Linked DNA regions of Astyanax mexicanus. The main gene of each other region encodes a partner of the protein of the gene in region 2 in a complex. Links are inferred from orthologs where the notes say so. Each region holds a gene or a part of one and is shown on either strand. Other genes may lie near its edges.

Region 1 (6,867 bases), on a different chromosome or scaffold from region 2:
GGTTTTCTTATTTTTAATTAGTGTTTAATTAGTCATTTTCTTTGCTCTAATTTGTACACCATATTATTTAAAGCCTGTTCATGTTCAATTAGGGTTATATTAAACAAAAACAACACATTCTAACATATTCCAAAGTCTGCAGCGCCAAAACTCCACAGACCAATGCTGGAGCTTTATAACTTAAATTGCTGATGACTGGCTTTGGGCCTAGTGAGATTATTTTCAATATGCTGCTACTTCCATTATTAAAGCTGATACAAGCACTGTGATACAATCACCAACAGATGCATCCTAAATTAACAGATTTTGTACACAATAGTCTATCCTTTTCATTTCTTTGACACTTCATTCCCAATCGTAGAATAAACTATACAACCTGCCAGTTGCAATCAAGGCATTGTGTGTTAGCCTGTTTTGCTTACCTGCTGAGTTTGATAATGTAGCTCACTTCAAGACAGACAGTCCAGTTTAAGAAAGAAAATACCTTAAAAGTTGATGACAAAGGGATGCTTTTGTTAAAAGGGTTTTACTATAAACGTAGTGTAAAACATGGCAAGCTCACATGTTGGATCAATCATGATCATAAACAATCAACAATCATCCACTCTCACAATCTTCTTTTTTCTCTTCAGGCATCTTTCTTTACAATGGGTAATCCCGCCAGAGGCTGAAATACAGGACAGAACAAACAATTACATATGCACTTACAGACCTCCATGTATGTGTAATATTATTATTTTTGCTAAATATATTCATGCTCATAGTACCTATGTGTGTACTCTGGGTCCACGCTCTCCGTCAGCAGTATATCTTTAATCTCATGTGGGGGGTCCAGCCCATGCAGTGCTGCCCTCTCCCATCTTTGTAATCGGCTGATCCCTACATACACATTCACACATGCAAGAGAGGAAGTACATAGGTACATACCAAAATTCCAAATGACTTCTATCCTTCTGTGAAATTTGTTAAGAAGAAAAAAATAATCAATACTTTATTTACAATGTGCATATGTTTATCCACATTTAATAATTTAGCAGTGGTTCTGGAGGCACCCTCCTCTGTATATTTTTCGCTTTTCCTTATTCCAACACATGCTTTAACTACACTCTCATACACTCTCATATGCAAAGGCTGCATCATTAGTCATCATTTGCAAGACTGAAACTAGATTCCTTTTGAGATTTTACTCATGCTTCTTATTTTGGCCACATCTGAAGCAATATGTGCAAAAGTTTGAATAGAAAAAAATCTCTGACATTTGTTAAATGTGTATAAGCAAGGGAAACACTACAATTGTACAGCAGGGTGCATCCTAGATTAAAATTTCCCCCCAAATACCCAGTGTTTTCCAGCAGCCATTTTTTTAGTTTGAAAGGGGCATTTCTTTGTACCCATAATAATATTAACTTCCTGAGCACTAAGGATTTGTCAGTGTAATTAGAGAATTATAAACACTTCTGACTCTTTTGTATTACCTGTGCATGGCCCAAAACGCCAGTCCAGGTCAAACTTTCTCAGTTCCTGCAGATCAATTTCTCTTTTACTGGGGCGAGGAGGTTCTGGATCTGAGAGATCATCAAATGGTAATAACATAACAACAGAATAACAATTGCAAATCTTTCCATTCATCAACATAGTTTTGATACCAAACTATATAAAAACAACATGATTCTAACTTAAGCTGCACACTATCACACAGTCTCACCTGCAGCAGGTGGTGAAGGAGGTCTCTTGTTTCTTTTGTCATCTTTCCTCGCCTTCTTCACTACTTTAAATGTGTCAGTGATGAGACCTCGTTTGGCTGTCATGCCTGGGGGAAGGGAATCAATGGTGTCCGACAACACCCATCAAGAACCACACATTTAGGACCTATCACATGCATGTCCCATGTACTTTCATTTTCCCATTTGGCCAAAAACTCTGTCCAATATGATCTGATACCCCCAAATATCAGAATTTTATCCCAGTTAAAGTTAAAAAACACTGTCTACGTGTACATAATACTGAGCTGAGCTGTGCCCAGTCTCAGGTATTGTTTCCTGTGTCTTAAACTCAGACCGTGTTCACATATTTATAAACAGTATCTGTAGCTCTCGTGTTCATAAATGTTTTACAGTTCTGAAGCTACAGCACTCACCTGCAGCTCTGTGTATCCAGTGAACACTGTAACCACTGTAAACACCGCGGATCCTCAGTCAACGATAAGATTTCCTACCCGAACGTTTACAAAACAAGGGTAGGGGCGTGGCCAAGCACACTGCGTGATGACGTTTGTGGGGGGCTTATTTCGTACGTATGACGTACGCACTCATGTTGCTCTACTGCCTCGTTCGTTTCAGCATTGAACCGATTCATTTGAACCAAATTATTCAAACGATTCATAGTCTCACGTTAAATCATAACAATAAAAATGACAACAAAAACAACATTAAAAACCCTTTACCTCTCCTTAAATTTCTGTCATGTTATATTATTATTATTATTATTATTATTATTATCATTATTATTATTATTATTATTATTATTATTATTATTATTATTATTATTATTATTATTATGACATCTTTAATTTACTAAGTGAATTGGTTAATTATGAGATTTTATATCATAAGTCTATACGGTGGGTATCTACAATTTTTTTTATAATATTGAGTTGATTCTGTTATTCTATTAGTTTTTTACTACTACTACTACTACTACTACTACTACTACTAATAATAATAATAATAATAATAATAACAATAATAATAATAATAATAATAATAATAAATTATTTAGACCTTAGAGTTAGACACTAAAATACTACATTAATACATAAATTATGACATTTTATATAAATAATTTATAGAGTATCTCCTTTTTTATTCTGATATACTACTACACAGTTAATAATAATAACGACATAATAATTACTACATAAATATATGGAAGTATCTATTTTTATTTCAAGTGTTTAAGACTATCAGTCAAATATAAGGAAATATAAAAAAACATATTTTTTATTTATTTATCAAAACAAAGCTACAAAAAAGTAAATGGCTCGGATTTACTTGTTTTTTTAAATGACTCGATTCAAAAGAATCGTTCATTCACGAGTTGGACATCGCTAGCGGTTTCCTCTCAGTTCCAGAATTCTCCAATAAACAGTAAATGCTATTTAACAGCAGCTGCGCGGTTCAGCCCTCGCTGTGACTCAGGAGTGTGTGACCCTGTAGTGAGACGCTGTGTGCGGATATCAGATAAAAACGAGTCCTTTGCTTGTTGGAGGAATGCTAAGCTGCAGTCTATTTCAGGAGCAGCAGCTCACAGCTAGCTATCCAGCTATTAGCGAATATGTCTGCGTGTGTTTAGCTCGCTGGCTGGGCCGTGGCACTGTTTAAAACTGTTTAAAATAAAATTGTCAGATTTGCTGCTTAAAATGTTAGCTAATAGATTCATAGCAAAACAGTCAGACAGTGAGTTTGTTAGTTAGCTGTCTGTCTAACCAGGTGTTCTGCATGGCAGCTGTTCTGTTTCTCCATCAGCATCTTCATTTAGCATCATTTAGAGAACAAAAAGGTGCTGCTGAACTCCATCACTTTATTTAAGGGGAGCTCAGAATAGAGAAGAAGCAGAACTGAACTTCTGCACATTCCCCATAAGATATGTTTCACCTGTACCTTCACCCCCCCTTCAGGCTTCAGAGAGCAAAATCAGCTCATATAGATAATATATATCAATACCAGCCTGTCAAAGCACCTGTTCTGACACAGCATAAGATTTGAGCAGTTTTAATCCATTGATTCTGGATATGAAGAAGCATATATGCATATGTTTTAAACATAATTTCCAGGATTTTACCATCCCCAAATGCGGCAACACAGAAAAGTGCAGTGAGAAAATATTTGTGATAAAGGGAGAACAGATTTGTATGTGTATTGATTTCTCTTACTGTTTTTTTTTCTTTCACAGATTTGTATTGCTGGGACAAGGGAGGAAACTGCTGGCATGGCTGACAATCTGGAGTTTAATGATATTTATCAGGAAGTTAAGGGTTCTTGGGTGAGTATCTTCAAGTAGAGCACTTTACAGTATGTGATAAATTGAATGTCTGTTTTCTATATATGTAAAAATAATAAAAAAATAAAAGTAATGTGTAGAGATTGTTTTTAATAAAAACCCACTGTTTTATTATTGAGTGTAATCAATTAATTAATACACAAAGTCATTCAGAGTGTTTTGACGTGAAATGATGGACTGTATAAAACTTGCTGACACACATTTTTTACAGTAATCAAGGGTCAGTGTAAATATAGTAATTTATTTGCTATTCTACATAATCCATCTTCTGACTACTTATATGTAATTCTGATAATAGTAGTAAAAAGTAGTACATCAGAACTGTTTTCTCATTTGTCTGTCTTCGCATGAATCTCTCTTTAAAAATATTTAGCGTTTTGTCCAAAACAAAAACAATGTTGCAAGCAAAACGTATCATATATGAACAGTTCTTGAAAACACAAATATTTCTTAATTTGTTTGTGAAAAAAGTAAAAAAAAAACCTGTGGAATTCCCATTTGAATGTAAATACAAAACCATGCACTATATATCAACAGGCTTAAGCTATGCATAATGTGTTTTACACTTATCCTATTGAAAAATATATTTAAAAAAAACATTGCAGAAATTATTGTAGCCATGAAGATAAATTAAATTGTCACCATGTTTTGAAGACGTTGTCTCCACATCTTAGCCTGCTTCAAGTAAGATGTTGTTAGCATAAAAATGCAACATGCTTTTATAAAAATACATATGTATCATTCACATGTGCCAACAAATAATGCAGAAGATTAGCACAAGTTCCTGTATTTTTGCAGAACGATGGGCGTCTACGGTTCAGTAAGCAGACAGTGGTTTATAAAAACAGTAAGACGGGGAAGGTGGACAGTATCCCTGTCCCAGAGCTCACTCAGGCCCAGTGGAGGAGAGTCTGCCTGGGACACGGCATCAAGCTCTGCACCAGCACTGGACACGTCTATAAATATGACGGCTTTAAGGACACGGTGGGTGTAATGGCTGTTTATTTTGTGTGAATAAAATTCAAAACAATATTTATTTTAATTAAACATGTTTATTCTTTATTTTGTTTCTTTCAAGGACTTGGAAAAAATCTCAGAGTATTTTAAAGCCAATTATAAAGTGGAGCTGGCTGAGAAAGACATGTGTGTGAAAGGCTGGAACTGGGGAACTGCTAAATTCAATGGTTAGTATAAGTTCATAACATAAAGTTTTTTATGTCTAAATTAGTTTGGTTTAATGTGAGGGATTGTAAGTCATGGTACAGTGCTCTGTGAGGAAAGCTATTAGTTAAGTGGCTTGCGTGAATTTAAGTCTAGTCTAGAGGCTTTACTCGTCATTTCAACCATAAAATTCTACACAGTGGAGCGAAATAATATTCCTCCAGGAGCATGGTGCAACACCATGTGTGTGTGTGTGTGTGTGTTGAAGATAAGGTGGGGAGATTTAAAACATTTTATGAAATATAGATATTTTACAGTCAGCTTATAGAATATGATCACAGTAATTGCAGAGATAAAGAGGGTACAGTTTTTCTAATAAATACAGTACTCAGCAGTAGGTCTGTCACGATAATTACATTATTAACTTGAAATAAAATTGTGTTTAATTCTTGGTTTGTTCACATATATAACAGTGAACAGTATTTTAGCCAGTCATGTAATGATCAATGCTTTTCATGTAATGACCAATGCTCTCCAAACACACAGTGTGAACTTCAGTAGGTGAAGGGAAAAAATATTTTATTCCCTATAATATATTTTGTTAAGCCATTTGTTAATAATTTGTTTATCCATTCTGTAGTCATTATGTCAGTGGCATTTAAATATAAAATAATAAAATAATATCATTTATTGCAATCATTTCTGGACGATATATATCATACACATAAAAATGCTATTGTGACAGGCCTACTCAGCAGCATTACTAAAAAATAATTGTCCTCTGAATGTAATTCTAGGCCCACTGCTGTCATTTGAGGTGAGTGACAGCCCTGTGTTTGAGATTCCACTCTCCAGCGTTTCTCAGTGTGCAACTGGAAAAAATGAGGTCACACTCGAATTTCATCAGAATGATGACACAGAGGTGTCCCTCATGGAAGTGCGGTTTTATGTCCCGCCCACCACAGCAGATGAGGGAGCAGACCCTGTGGAGGTGAGAGAGAGCCTGTGTGTGTTTGTGTATGTGTGTGTGTGTGTGTGTGAGTGTGTTTTCTCTGTACAAAAAATCTGAGAATAAGTTTGATGATGTTTGTGCTAGGCATTATGACCTGAAAAATCATGATTAATTGATATTAGTTAAGATCAGAGTTAGGCTTATTTTTGCATATAAATGCACAAACTGGATGATGAGATCTTTTGTATGCATTGTTTTACTGTGACCACTAAGAGGAGCCCTTTTCAAATAAACAAGATCTACATTGGGCTGAGGACAAAAAAGAGACAAAATATACTTATTATTATCATTATTATCATATACCAAAAAACTACAAGAAATATTAAAATATAGAACATAGTATTTCTTTGTGATCCAGCTGAAGGGAGTGGTTAGGGTCACATCAAATGTTCTAAGAGCTGCACTTTGGGCAGTTTTGATCCAAAGAAAGTCTAAATGAGAATGTGAATGAAATCAGAGGTAGCGCCTCTCTCAGTCTGGACTGTCTTTTTTTAAAGCATAAAGTACAGGTTTCATTTTAAACACCTCTTCCACTAAGATCAATTACAGGCAGTTATGAGGATCCTAATTCTATAACACTCTTAAGCAAATAGACTAAACGGTTTAATGTGATTCTCTTACAGGCGTTTGCTCAG
Region 2 (7,034 bases):
AACTTGGCTGTTTCGATTTTGCCCTCCAGTTTGATCCTCTGCAGCTCATCCTCTAGAATCAGCTCGTCTGACTGGCTGATGTATTTGGCACGAGGCGGCTGGGGCAGCAGGTTGTGCTGAGGTAATCAAAAGAAATGATAAAGAAGAAAGTTAAAAAAAAAAAGTAAAGAAAAGAAATATTCCAAATGATCACAAACAGAACATAAAAGTTTACATTAACAGCATTCCAACCCCCAAAGAAGGTTATCTACAAAAAACATTTTTGACATAAATCTGGCAGTTTAAGTTCAAGGCTTGGCCAATACAAATGCTCCAAAATTTGTGATATCTTTTTAAATAGATTCCCATTTCTTTTTGCAGCAAAAGTGCTGTTTTTGAGACATCCAATGATGATTGATGGGTTGGTTTATTTTCTGGACTACCTCCTCGCTGATCTCCTTCAGTATGGACGGCTGCAGCTCCATGTGCTTGAATATGGTGCCCACGATCACACACTGTTCACCCATCTGCAGATCACAGAGCTTCTTGATTGGTATGTCAGTACCTGAAAAAACATGAAACATCGAGTTAATAACAGGAACCTGATTACCCAGGAAAGACATCAGCATCACTAGCCAAACACAGCAGCAGGCAGACATCTTCCTGTTTCATTTTTTCCTTTGTTGTTGGGCTCCATAATTTCGCAATGCATGGGACACAGACTGAGTCTCGGTACTGAGGAATAAAAACAAAATCCAGATATAAACATGGAATATGCACGGTAATACACAAAAATCTCAGAGCTAAGTAAAACTAACATCATTCCAATACAGATCATTTAACTCAGGATTAATTAAGGACAGAAAATAAATATTATAAAAAGGTATATACATGCCAATCCAGGCTGACTTTCCAGTCCACAAGCGTTATCTTGCATGATTCAAAAAAGGCTTTGTAGAAGACATATTGTACTAGCCTGTGCTTCTTAAATATTAACTGCACTAATATATTAATGGACACCATATATTTAAGCCACTTTTCCTTGAGTACATTTTACTTGAAACAAACAAAAACATTAAAAACTCACCAGTGCAAATATCAAATGTATATCAAAATATCAACTGCATGTGTGTAAACCATGTGACTTTTTAAAGAAGAATTTATTTAAGGGTATTTAAATGTAAAAAAAAAATAATAATAATAATAATAATTTCTGTTAGATTGGATAAAATAATTATATTAGTATCAGTGGTATTTAAAAATAAAATCACCACAATATTCAAAATCATGATTTATTCTTTAAAATGGGGATAGTTTCCTGTATTTCTGGGAGGGAAACAGTGATAATAGTGTAGTGTGGATTAGGGAGAGCGGCTGAGAGTCTTCAGCAGAGCGATGCTGTGTCCATTATTTGGAGAAAAATAAAGTGTGGATAAAAGTGGAGTATGGCTTTATAGAGGTAGCTTGCTGGATTAGCCTCATTGCTTACTAGCTAGCAAGAAAGTATTATCATGGCTAATATAGAAGGGAACCCAGCCTCTCCTGGTCAGATAACTTATAAATCAATCAATCAGTGTTAAAAAGCATTAGACTTCCACATATGTCTAATATAATTAGCTGAATAGCCCCAGCAGCAGTGGAAGTAGGTAGAAAATTCATAGTTAGAGTTCATATAAACTTTAATGTAAACCTGGTGTCCCAGGTAGTTGCTCAGGTTTTGTAACGTCATCATTGTTTTAACCTTGTTAATAATACTAAAAGTAATAATAAATTAATAATAATAACAATAATAAATGATCAGACATCCCAAGTTGCAACAATTAATTTCAGTGAGGTACCCCAGACCCGAACTTCCCCCCAACCACCCCACAAACAAAACAAAAAAACAAAAACAAGAACTAGCGCACTCACAAAGCATACCAAAGGATCATAGAACTTTTATATATGGTCACATTTAACTTACCTCAACATGCCTTTTGCAATCATTTAGTCCTCATGGTCAACACTAAAATTACTATTACAAACTGTACAGCGGGCAAGACTTTCACTGTTTTTACCAGACATGGATATGCTTTAAAGTAGTCAGAGGTAAAATGAGTTTTGATGGGAGCCACGATGCTCCTGAACGCATCCCGTCCAGGAGGAAAAAAAAAAAAAAACACTGCCCGCCCACACTAAAAACTGACTGGCTGACCCAGAGACTCTTTGCAAAGAACAGGCCAATCAGAACACTCTCTGTTTTGCATGCACTTTATGTGTTCACTCTTGGGCCACTCGTTCTAGATTCCGGGAGATTTTATCTGACTTGCGGGCATCAGGGAGCCGTTATGGATATGATATCAATTGTAGACTCCCGCAACTTCCGGGAGACTTGGGTAATCTGTAATAATTATATTGTATTCGATATTAGTTTATAGGTGCTTTGGCTCCTAGAATCCATCATAAGGTATTTACAGATTCTTCTGTATTTCCAAAGCGCTGCCCCACTGTAACCAGTACACCCAGAATTCTCACCCCACTTCTGCTCGGCTCTGTCCTTCAGGATGCCGCGCATCTGCATCAGTCTGGCGGCGTACATGTGCGCGTACTGCCGCTGGAAGCTGCGCTCCCCCAGCCCGAAGCCCTCACTGCAGCCGCTGTACGTGCGCTCATCCCGGGAGAACACCGGCCTCTCCGTTCCTGGAGGAGCCAGCAGGGTCTCCTTCTGCTCCGTAATATCCGAGAACATGACCGAAAACTGCGGAGAGGAAATAATATATACACAATAAACAAACAAACCCAGAGCCTTCAGACCCACACACACCTAAACCCAGAGCCTTCAGATACACAGTGAGTACACGAGCTCGCTCTCTAACCCTCATTCTTACCGGTTTCGGGGTTCAGGACTCTCTTGTACAGTGGGTTAGGTCCTTTACTGTAAAAGTGCTGACAGTTTATAGGACACACACACAGCTATAAATTAATAAATAAACATAAACAAACAGAGAAACACAAACACACGGCAACTTCAGGATCTCCCGCTAAATATCGCACCGCCTCAGGATGTGACAACATTACTACAAAGCGCTGCCTTCATAATAAAAGTCACGAAAAGGAAAAAAAGAAACGATTTTCGCCCATTCTTATAATATATTCTTAGAAATTCAACCTTCTGATATATAAAAATATATTGAGAAAAGGACTTAGCTCTTTAAAGACACAACCACAAAATATTTGCTAAAATTCTTTTGTTTTTAAACCGTATATAATAAAATATTAATACAGAAAGAAAACAAATAACGCTTCACATGCAGGACTTTTATGGATCATACTTGATACATTAGAATTTGAAGTTTTCTTTCGCAAAAGCAGGTATGTGCTCCACTTTAAACACACCTTTATCTGTTTTTGCAACAGATAATCCATCAGGGGGCAGAAAACATGTGTCTGATTTTATTTTTGTATTAAATGTATTAATAATTATTTAACTTATATTCGTGTTATTGCTTAGATATGAGTAAAACAAACGTGCATTGTATATGGAATAAACATGCTTACATAAATGTTGTCAAGCGACATCATTTTTTTTATTTATTTGCTTGTTTGTTTACACTTACATACTCAAAAATGCAATGCTGACCGATAAATAAGGACCTTGCAATGTATAACATAGCATACATATGTCCTCAATAAATTTAATACTGTTCAAATAAATTGTCTATAATTGCATGCATCTAAAACTTGACTTTTTCCACTTTAATTTAAAAAAATGATTTGGATAAAAATGCTAAACGGAAAAATAAAAAATTAATGCCCTTCTTATTTTAGGTTATATTTAGCTTTGTTGGTGTGTCTGCCTGGATGTAAAAAATATTCAGTACTCAACATAAATTTAAAATTGCAGTAATTTTTTCTAAGTAAAATTAACAAATATATTTAGAGTATTTAATTTATTGCAATGGTGAAAAAAGTGGAAAAGTTATTACACTCTGCAAAAGAGTTTATTTGGTGTATTACTACCATTTAAATATCACGTTTCATTCAGCAAATATTTAATATCTGATACCAGACATATGCAGTAGTGGTGGCTCAGTAAGAGCTCTGGATTATTTAGTGTTGTTGGTTTCCTATGAACAAATTCCCTTATTCCACTCCAGGGGGCGCTGTAGCACATCTCACCTCAGCCTTGTCAAACTGGACTAAGACAATTGTGTTTTCCTGTACATATAAATGACAAATGCTTCGTTTTCTGATGCAATAGCTAGAGGTTTAATGCCAAAAAAAACACATTATTTAAGGTTTTTCCTTAAATTTATTTGATTCTGCTTTGTAATAACATTTTCATTTTTTTCATTTCAGAATCTCACAAAAGCAGTGTTTTAGATCTGAAAGGTGAAACATAAGCCTAGTATCAGCCAAAACAGTAAAACATACTTAACTACACAAGATAAATGCCTAACACTATAGACATTTCATACAAGAGTGTGACAGTTCCAAGGAATCCAGCTTGTTGATAACAGTATAAACTACCAAGCAAAAACTGCAGCAATTTCTACATATGAATCTTCTAAACAGGGATGGTAATAGAGCTGAGCAGTAGGAGGAGTTTCGAGAGTATAAACTACTTCTTCCTTCCTCCTCTCTCCTTGAGGGCGAGATGAATAACAGAGCCGTTGTTCATGTTGTAGTAAGCCAGAGAGTTTGAGTCCTTGATGAAAATACCCTGCAGACGAAAGATACAGTTTCAATTAGCAGAGAGAATTTAATTATGTTTAATAAATAATGATAATTTTTTGATAGTCACACAGGTCATGCAAGCACAGTAAAATAAAATAGATTAAAGGGCTGTTTTATTTTCTCCTCTGGGGACTGAATTACTGATTGATGCATACTTGTAATTTTGTATGATTTTAGGAAAAAATGAGTCATAACTTATTTTTATTCGTATACAATCTTTTCCCAGCTTATTTTTAGCTCAGAAATCCACTCGATATATGGAAATGTAATATAAAAAGTGTGTACTGGTTGGCAAACTGTTTTGTGCAGCCGAATTCCCTTGTATGGATTAAGAAGTGATCTGCGTTTTTTGAAAATTGTTATAATTTACCTCATATTGAAGTTTCTGTTTGCCTGCAGGCATTCCAGTGGCTTCATGGATCTTAACCTTGATAACAGACACCTAAAAAAAAAAGAGAAATACTTGTGAATAGGAACAATGTGAAGAGAATGATTTTATTTAAACACATAAAAAAAAAAATAAAAGAATAAATACTAACTTTATTATTTAAACATGTTTAAGGTTAATAATCAATTCAAAAAGAGAGAAATATATCCTCTGTGTTAAATGATTAGTCAGTGCACTGTTGGCGGGCCTCTTTACCTGGTCTGTTAGAGGCATGGTGAAGTTGAGCACTTGTCCATTCAGCTTCCATTCGGTCTTGTCCTGCATGTTGGGTACCTGAACTTTGACTGCCACGGGACCCTGAAAGGCATAAAATCTTACAATTAGTGAGAAACTCAAAGAATGTATCACAACACCCACTTTTTCATCCCTGTTGTCATGACATACACAAAGTCTACATAAAAAGTGAGCTAGTCACAATAATTTAATAATGAAACTTTAATTTTTATTACAATGAACCTTCTTAAACCCCAATGTTAAAAACAACATTGTGTGCAGTGCACTAAAAAATAAATGTGAAAGTTTCTTAATATATATAAGATAAGATACCCTGGTCACAGTTTACAGCCCTGCAGTACTCCTGTGTGTGCACAGCGGTGCTTGGAAGTTTGTGAACCCTTTCCAATTTTCTATATTTTTGCATAAATATGGCCTAAAACTTCAAAAATATTTGACTTGCTCATTTATTTATTGAAAATTATACACTATTACATAGTTGTGAGTGGCAAAAAATGTGGTGACCATAATTAGGAGAATCAGTACCATGTTTGCCTCGCATCTCTGTGGCATTTGTCTCCAGTCAAGCTTGGTGATCAAAATTGGCCCCAAAAACATTGATTGGTCAATCTCTATTAATATTGTATTATTTTTCACAATAAATAAATTGCCAAGTATAATATTTTTGTCTCATTTGTTTAACTAGATTCTCTTAATATACTTTTAGGAAATCAGCACCTTCCACAACATTTTGACTGAATTATGGTCAGGACTGTGACTTGACTGAAAACATCCAATATAATTTTTAAATGAAAAGTTCACATCATTTTGTCATTCACAAATATGTAATATTGGATCATTTTGCTTAATAAATAAATGACAAAGTAAAATATAAACAAAAAATCTCATTTGTTTAACTAGGTTCTCTTTATGTACTGCTAGTAATATAATCTGATAATGTTTTAGGTCATATTTATATTCTAAAGGGTTTACAAACTGATAAAAAGCACTGTATATCCTACTAGTACACACAGCACCTTGTTTCTGCGCAGGAATTCCTCTTCGGGTATCAGGTTGTCCTCTGTCTTCATCTTCTTGTTGACTGGCTCGTCCTCGTGGGGAGGTGGAGGGTGAGCAGGTGGCATTGGGGCTGGAGCTGCACTGGGAGGCTGTGGCACTGGAGGGGCTGGAACAAATGCTAGAGGGAGAAACAAAAGACCTTCAGTATCTATTCTTCAAGAAGCATCTTGGCCTCTTAACTGTTCCTGTAATAATTGCTGACCGAAGCAACAGATGTTAACACTGTCCTCTTACCTGCAGGGACCACCATAGGTGGAGGTCTTGGAGCCATGATGTGTGGAGCTGTGGGAGGCATGGGCACCACATTGATGCGTGGCGCGTGTACCATGGGTGGCATGGGGGTCAGCACCTGCCCAGGGGCCAAACGCACCACAGGAGCCATCGGGGGCCGTGGAATAACGGGCACAGCAGACAGCAGAGTGGTCCGGACTGGGGGTGGAACCTGTAAACCAGAACAAACAAACACAAAAAATAACAGTTAAATCCTATTCATATTATATGATTTATATCACCTTTTTAAACTCCAGAAGGCGCACTGACCACAGGTGGGGGCTTAGGCATGGTGCTGATTGGTGGGCTGGGTTTGGGTAAATTGGCC
Region 3 (7,533 bases), on a different chromosome or scaffold from region 2:
ATACTTTACCCAGGTAATAGTCCAAATCTATTTGCTGAAAGATGAGGGTGTCTTTGTCAGGTTTGATAGTAGGAGCTGTGGGACGCCGCCAGCGAGGGTTTAGATCAGCCGAGAACAAGTCACCTGAGCCAAAAAAGAAAAAAGAAAAAAATGCAAAATAAAAAATAAATTGTTTAACATAATTAGCCAACATAAAATACCATTTCTCAAACACAAAACAAGATGAGGTTATATATATATATATATATAAAGCAGGACCTGAATTGCCTGTCCAATAAGAGAAGAGTTGTTATACATTCCTATGGGCAGTCCTATTTTTGGCACTTTTTGGCACATCCCAATTCACCTCTTGTCCCAACCACTTAGTCCTACCCTTCCGTTTTGTACATTCTTACCTAAAGGAACTGAAGAAACCCACAAATAAACCTTTATATTTGTTAAAAATTATAAAAACCATTGCATCTTACCTTATATTTTTTAATAAATTATGGGCCTTTTCTTCATAACAAGCAAGATAACAAAAAAAAATCCTGTTCCACCTACAATAGTGGAGGAGCATTTACTGGGACTTTGGCATTTAAGGTGGTTTGGGAAAATTTAAATAAGTAGTTAGTGAATAGGTAACTTTATCTTCCTATAACAGAGAAAATAGGGACGGACAATAATAAATAACTCATCAATCTGAACCCAATTGCAGGGTCGTCTACAGAGCATCCCTAATATCCTAATAATGAAGCAATGTACATTTCTTTAATCAAACAGGGCTGAATCATTTTGTAGAGTGAGAACTTCATCCACTTCCTTTTGTAACTCAGTTCAAATAGAAAGATGACACTCGAAAACAAGGGGTAGGGGTACAGATGAGAAAGGGGATTGGGCCCATGTTATTAAATAACTGAGAAATCCTGCTTTGTGAAACAATACAAATTTGGGACCAACTCTGGCAGTACCACTTACCCACTGGAATTACATCATGACCCGCCTGTCCCTCCCCTGACTCTGCATCCATCTCCATTTCATCAAATAAAGCAAGCTCCTCCTCAAAATGGGAAGGTCCATCGTCCCAATCTGTACCCACTCGGCCTTTCTTAGTCTGGGAGGCTCCACCCAGTGTAGGCCCACCATTGCGCTTTTTCCCATCCATCCTCAGCACCTACAGTAAACACACATACATATAAGGGTCAACACTGTTAATGTACTAATTAAACAAAGATCAATGCATTAATGGACGGTGGAATATCCCAGTTGTGGGTGGGCAAAAGTAAAAGTGCACAAATCATTTCAAACACTAAATCAAAGTCACTGAACTAAATTAAACTTTTATTCGTATATTTCTTTTAATATGGGGATGTTTAAACGCAAAAATAACTTGTATAACTATATGTAGGATTGGACGATATGGAGAACATTTATATCACAACATGTCTTAATTTCAGTCAATACGATATAACTGCAATATTAATATGCACAGTATAAAACCCACCACTCTTGCTGTACATAATCATGTACTGAGAGAATTAGGCAATATGGAAAATGTTATACAACAGTATTAAAAGATATCTTATAAAACAATGTATTTATTGTGGCAGATTCTATAAAAAATGTACTAAACAGTATTTAAATACTCTTTCATTAACAGTCAAGTTATTTATATATAATATCTGCTGCACATGATTCAATTTAATAGGAGTTTCAACACTCTCTGTAATAAAATGTACAGTTGGGTCAGGCTTCTTTAGGGAGTAACTATATCCTTGGCATATTTTCAATAAAAAAAACCTATTTATCACAATACAATAACATATCGACATGTAGTCCAGCTCTACTTATATGATGTGTTTTTTATTGTCAACCACCTTAATTACTTTTAATATTTATACAATGTTTGGTGTCCTGTGGTTTCTGTGATGTAAAGAACACAGACGAAATCCAAAACCGAAATATTTTTTTTAAATATGAAGACACCTCAAATCAAAAAGGGGGAAATAAATTTAAAAAACAAAAAATATTTAATAGCGCCCAAACTTTGCCAAGTTTTGCATCTAGAGGATAGCTTCAAAAAGTACTAATTAGGCTTGGGCAAAGGAAACTGGTCTATTCTAAAAAAAAAAAAAAAAAAAATCTACCAAAGCGGTTTGATAACCCAGCTAACCTACGCTATTTTTCATTCTCAGCATTATTAGCTTTTACTGCGAGTAAATTATATTTATAATTTATGAAATTAGTTATAAAAGAAACTGTGTTTCCAGAGAGAGAGAGACGCTGAAGCAAGAGCAGTTTAGTCCCTGTTCATGTGCTTAACGTGGCTTGTCAGACAGCAGAAGTGTCACTAGCTAATACAAAGAGAAAGCAATAATATCTATCACCCCATTGTTGTGTTGTTACCCAACATAGCACGTAAAACATCCAGGAAAATAAACAACAGAAAGACGCAAACAGAGGAGCAACTTTAACGTTACAGTAACTAGCTAAGTACAAGGTTATCAACCATATATTAAATAGGTAAGTTGGTAAGCTAGCTAGAGCCAAACAAACATGAGCTAAAGCTAGCTAGCTAACTAACTACTAAGTTTCCTTGACCCGCAGAAAACTACTAAAAAACAGACAGAACAATACAACACCGTTTTAGAGTACATCACGTAGTTAAGCTTCATAGCTAAGCTAATCTAGTTAATATCCAAACTATAAAAGATCTGCCAGAACAGTCAAATTCCAACCTAGACAACAGCAGCAGCAACAACTAGCTTCACCATATAAACAGAAAAGTCAGTTAGCAAAGCAGTGTTAACACTAACACTGTACCAAAACCGGTTTGCACACAGCTAGCACGCTAACTAACTAGCAGACCTGTAGCTAAACAACCCGACGTGTAAGTAAACAGGGTTAGCAGGTTAAATAGAAGCCCGTACTTTTCAGATCAATACTGTGTTGTCTCTCTCGGACCCAGCCTGAATCTCCCGCCACTTTTTTGACATTCACGCGCTCCACTGTTCTCTCTGCTCGTATACATGCCGCGATCTCCGTTTCCCGGCAAATTTGCGTGAAGGGGGTCGCGGACAGTGATTGGCTCAAACCCAGGAAGCTGCCCTGTTACAAAAACCATCTTATAAAATAAAAGTACTTTTACGATCACACGTATAAACGTATTGTTGTCATGCTGATCCACAAATGCATCGAACTATATACATATAGTTCGAATTATTTAAGTAGATTAAAATAATAGTTCAAATAGTTTTCTAAAAGGTTCGAAACTTTTTCAAAAAGTAGTTCGGATCAGTTTTCCAAAAGATTCAAAACTTTTTCTAAAGCAGTTTGAATCAGTTTTCTAAAATATTCTAAACTTTTTTAAGTAGTTCGAATCAGTTTTCGAATAGTTTTAAAACTTTTTTAAGCCGTTCGAATTAGTTTTCTAAAATGTAAAAATATTTTTTAAGCAGTTTGAATCGGTTTCTAAAAGGTTCGAATCTTTTTCAAGAAGTTTAAATTATTTTTCTAAAAAGTTCACATTTTTTCCCAAGCAGTTTGAATCAATTATCTAAAAGGTTTGGATCTTTTTTCAAGCAGTTTGAATCAGTTTTTTTAAAAGGTTAAAATCTTTTCCAAGCAGTTTGAATCAGTTTTTTTTAAAGGTTTGAATCTTTTTTCAAGCCGTTCGAATCAGTTTCCTAAAAGATGATATTTTTTTCTGTCTGACTCTAAAAGAGTAATTGAATTACGCCTCTTTTGTAGATAAAATTTGTTGTTTAACAACCTGTTAAAAATACACCAGAATGCAGGAAATGGCATCCAATTCATTAGAAATGTTATGGGGGGAGGGTGACCTTCATAAATCATCAATCCATCAATCAATTCATCAGTTCATCAGTCAATCAGTCAACCAAGCGCAGCATCTCGGATAGTATAGTTATGCAATCTCCACACTCTTACTTACCTTACAAATATATGCTGCTTAAGGAAAAGGAGTACAATAATAATAATAGATAATGGTCTTCAATAATTTCAATGTAAACATGTATTTTTTTTTTACAAAAAAAAAAGAAAAAAATTCAGCCATTGTACTGTTTTTTTACAGTTTTGCGCTGACAGGTTATCAATATATATTCTGACTCAGGATACATATCTTATATACAGTCTATGCTCACAGAGCTAGGGTAAAAACACTACCCTCTGCAGTGCACGTGCCCGACTTGTGATGGGGAACTCTGGTCTAATCCCTGACAGGGACTGTAACACAATGTCCGCGTTTATTTGCAGAACTGAGTAAAATCATCTCATATTCCACCAGTAGTAATCATTTAACACGGACATGGCTTGTGTATGGTGTCTGACAGGCTGGATAGATCAGTTGAAGGTTTATTAGTGTTTTGTACAACACGTAAAGACATGCATGCATTGAAATGTGTGTGGTCTGGTTTAGAAAATCACTCTACAGTTGGACACTTTGGACTTGATATAACACAGTAGACCAACACCAGCAGATGACATGGCTCTCCAAACCATCACTGACCATCAGTAAATTTTGCATTTTATTTGGAAATCAAGGGACCAGATCCTGGAGGAAGAGTGGAGAGGATCACGGTCCAAATTGCTTGAGGTCTAAGTGTGAAGTTTCCACAATCAGAGCCGTATCATCTGCTGGTGTTGGTTCACCGTGTTATATCAAGCCCAAAGTCTTAGAGCACTTCATGATTCCCTCTACTGACAGCTTTTATGGAGATGCGGATTTCATTTTCCAGCAGGACTTGGCACACTGTCCACACTGCCAATATGTGTATATTTTATAAAATAAAAATAAATGTTTGACACTGAACTAAGACTGTACATTGTACATTCTGTGTTCATGTGTGTGTATTTTCTGTGATGTCCTCACATCTATTCACGTCGTAGTCACCACTATATTCTGCTCTGACCGCTACAGCGTGCTGTAAAAATAACTGTGCTGCCCTTTTCTCTGCCGGGGGATAAAATCGTTCAGCATTAAAAACAGTCTCACGTTCCTCACGAGCAGTCAGCGCCTAATTGACACGATGCTCCGCCAATCAGATGGCTTAAGACCCTCCGCGTAAACCAATCACATTGCACGTACGTGGATCGTCAGAGGCTAGTCGCTCTCTGATTGGTCGGGCTCCTCCTCCGCGGTCAGGTCGTGCTGTTTGGTGATTGATTCGCGCAGATGCGAGAGCGTCGCAGGCGAGGACGCCGCCGCAGGGTGAGCTTGTGTCTCTTTTATATATTTATGTTTTTTTTTTTTTCACGAGCATTAGCGTGTCTGCTGTTCTGTGCACGCGGAAAGACGCGCGCGCACGCTGTCGCGTGAGAATCTGAATCCTGTTATTGGTGCTCGTGAGAATAAAACTCACTTTACTGCCCGTCCTTCCTGGTGGCTGATGTCCAGGGAAGTAGTGGGTAAAGGGGGGTCGGGCAGGAGCAGGAGCAGGAGCAAGCAGTGCGTTTCTGCACAGGAGACATGTAGCTGTGTGTGGTTTTAATGAAAAGCTGCACTGACCTGCAGCGCTGTGTAGTGTTATTAATCTGAGGGCAGGCTGTGCGCGCGCGCTGCTGTTGTCCTGGTCACAGTGTGACGTTCAGCGCGGCGAGAAAGAAGGCACGTACGCCACACCGGGGACAGAGCGTGCGCGCGCACGCACGCTTACAAACCACCGTGGACCGTGTTTATAACCACATTCTAACCACATTTAAACATGTAAAGCTCCAGTCTTGGGCGAAATGTGTTTGAGCGTAAAGCGGAGCTGTGGGATAGGCGCGTGTTCTTTAACAGCGTGCTGCCCGTGAGAGTCTGAGTTAGAGGGGGTGTGTATGTGTGCCCTGAAGGGGGCGGGTCGTGGCTGTAATGAAAATTAAATTTCCTTGGGTTTCACCCTGGAGACACTCTCTGTCGGTTGTGCATGTCTGTCTCTCTGTATGTCTCTCTCTCTTTAAGTACTGTATGTCTCTCTCTCTCTGTATATCTGTCTGTAGGTCTCTCTCTCTCTGTATGTCTGTCTGTATGTCTCTCTCTGTATGTCTGTCTGTATGTCTCTCTCTCTGTATGTGTCTGTATGCCTCTCTCTTTGTGTGTATGTCTCTCTCTCTCTCTGTTTATTTCTCTATCAGTTTGTCTCTCTCTCTGTACGTCTCTCTCTGTATACTTCTTTCTTTCACTGTCCACATAAATGTGTTTCTTGTCACATTGCCTGACTCTGTTCTATTGATTCATTCTTTAATTAAATAACTATTTGAGAACAAATTTGAATTGTGTCAAGCAGTCCAAAAATGTCACCCACACTAGATTACACCCTATAAGCTAGTTTAATCACTTATCTCGATTTCCACATAAGATCCAAATACAAAACTGGGGTTGACATGATACAAAACTAAAAAAAAATAAGCATCACTAATGCTTAATAGTAAATAATACAATGACACAGAAACTAAACAAACAAACGTTTGCCAGTCTTAGGATGGAGAAAACCTATTGCGTATTCAGCGAAGTGCTGCACAAGGCCCTTGAAACCCTTGCTATACAGTGCACTCTTTAGGCAGTAGGAAGACGTGTGATGTGGCTTTTCTTTCCAGCCTTAACCTCCATTTAACCCCCATTTGACCTTCATTTCTGCTGTATCTCTTTATTCTCTGTCACATTTACATTGGGTGTCCCAATTGCTTTTGATTAGGTTTGTTTAGTTTAAATTGAGTGTTGTCAGAAATCCATGATGCATAAATGGGTCCACTCAGTTTTTGAGAATAAAATGGTTTAAATGGAAACTGTTATTTCCTAATGCAGTGGAAACGAAAAGGGAGGAGGTATAATTTGGGAAAAAATGTTGGGCAGCTACAGTGGCAAGAGAATTATGTGTAAATGAAAAGCATTGCTTCATCACATCCTCTTGATATGAGTATGAATCAGGATGAGTGAATGTTAATATTTTGTGTATTTACCTGTTAAACCTGTACTATTACTTTTATTATATATAATACACATTTTTGTATTAATGGTTGTACGCAATTCAGGCAGAGCCCTTGTTTTGCTCAAGAACAGTTTATTTAGATTGGCTGCAGTGTTAGGTTTAAGATTTAGGTTGGTTTTAAAGTGAGATTAGGATTAGTATTAGCAGTGCTGATTTAAAAAAACATTAAGGTGGTGTTACAAATCTTTTAAAATGTCTTTAATACCTTAAGACTTTGTGTGTAGGCCAAAGCCACCAATGTATGATTTCATGTTCTGACTCGAAATAAGTGTTAGCTTGATGTGGCCACAAAACTCTACTTCCTTCCTCGGTTACTTAATCTCCACCACCTCTTGCTGTAATCCCAGTTCTTTCTGTGTCCTTCATCCTTTAGATAAGGTTCAATCCATTAACTTATATGAGGTTGAGGCCAGGGTCTGAGAACTTGTGTTTGTGGCCCATTTTAAAATTGTGGGTGCATTTCGTGTATGAAAAGCTTTGACATATTAGTCAGTTATCATTAAACCATCTAAACCATTAAAAAATGAACACGTTTTGACACTTTCCAGCGTTTTGTTCCGTAACT

The links. Proteins that work in one complex are often made in the same cells at the same time.
Region 1: pold2 (region 2) and DNA polymerase delta subunit 4-like share a complex: the UniProt entries of both Homo sapiens proteins name them as parts of the tetrameric DNA polymerase delta complex. The link is inferred for Astyanax mexicanus from reciprocal best matches to the Homo sapiens genes POLD2 and POLD4.
Region 3: pold2 (region 2) and pold1 share a complex: the UniProt entries of both Homo sapiens proteins name them as parts of the tetrameric DNA polymerase delta complex. The link is inferred for Astyanax mexicanus from reciprocal best matches to the Homo sapiens genes POLD2 and POLD1.

Annotation. Positions count from the first base shown.
Region 1 is NC_064414.1:44,551,271-44,558,137, forward strand, and holds DNA polymerase delta subunit 4-like, read right to left. Parts: upstream 2,273-6,867; 5' UTR 2,138-2,272; intron 1,811-2,137; 5' UTR 1,809-1,810; coding exon 1,706-1,808; intron 1,566-1,705; coding exon 1,476-1,565; intron 880-1,475; coding exon 768-879; intron 668-767; coding exon 643-667; 3' UTR 571-642; downstream 1-570. Other genes in the region: ssrp1b (FACT complex subunit SSRP1), read left to right, coding at 3,988-4,041, 4,858-5,043, 5,138-5,243, 6,018-6,211, 6,856-6,867. UniProt on the Homo sapiens protein: As a component of the tetrameric DNA polymerase delta complex (Pol-delta4), plays a role in high fidelity genome replication and repair.
Region 2 is NC_064419.1:31,905,081-31,912,114, reverse strand, and holds the start of pold2 (DNA polymerase delta subunit 2), read right to left. Parts: upstream 3,021-7,034; 5' UTR 2,847-3,020; intron 2,717-2,846; 5' UTR 2,708-2,716; coding exon 2,494-2,707; intron 545-2,493; coding exon 423-544; intron 117-422; coding exon 1-116. Other genes in the region: sf3a1 (splicing factor 3A subunit 1), read right to left, coding at 4,580-4,681, 5,066-5,137, 5,339-5,440, 6,394-6,554, 6,671-6,878, 6,977-7,034. UniProt on the Homo sapiens protein: Accessory component of both the DNA polymerase delta complex and the DNA polymerase zeta complex.
Region 3 is NC_064426.1:26,991,015-26,998,547, reverse strand, and holds the start of pold1 (DNA polymerase delta catalytic subunit), read right to left. Parts: upstream 3,071-7,533; 5' UTR 2,910-3,070; intron 1,154-2,909; 5' UTR 1,145-1,153; coding exon 958-1,144; intron 124-957; coding exon 10-123; intron 1-9. UniProt on the Homo sapiens protein: As the catalytic component of the trimeric (Pol-delta3 complex) and tetrameric DNA polymerase delta complexes (Pol-delta4 complex), plays a crucial role in high fidelity genome replication, including in lagging strand synthesis, and repair.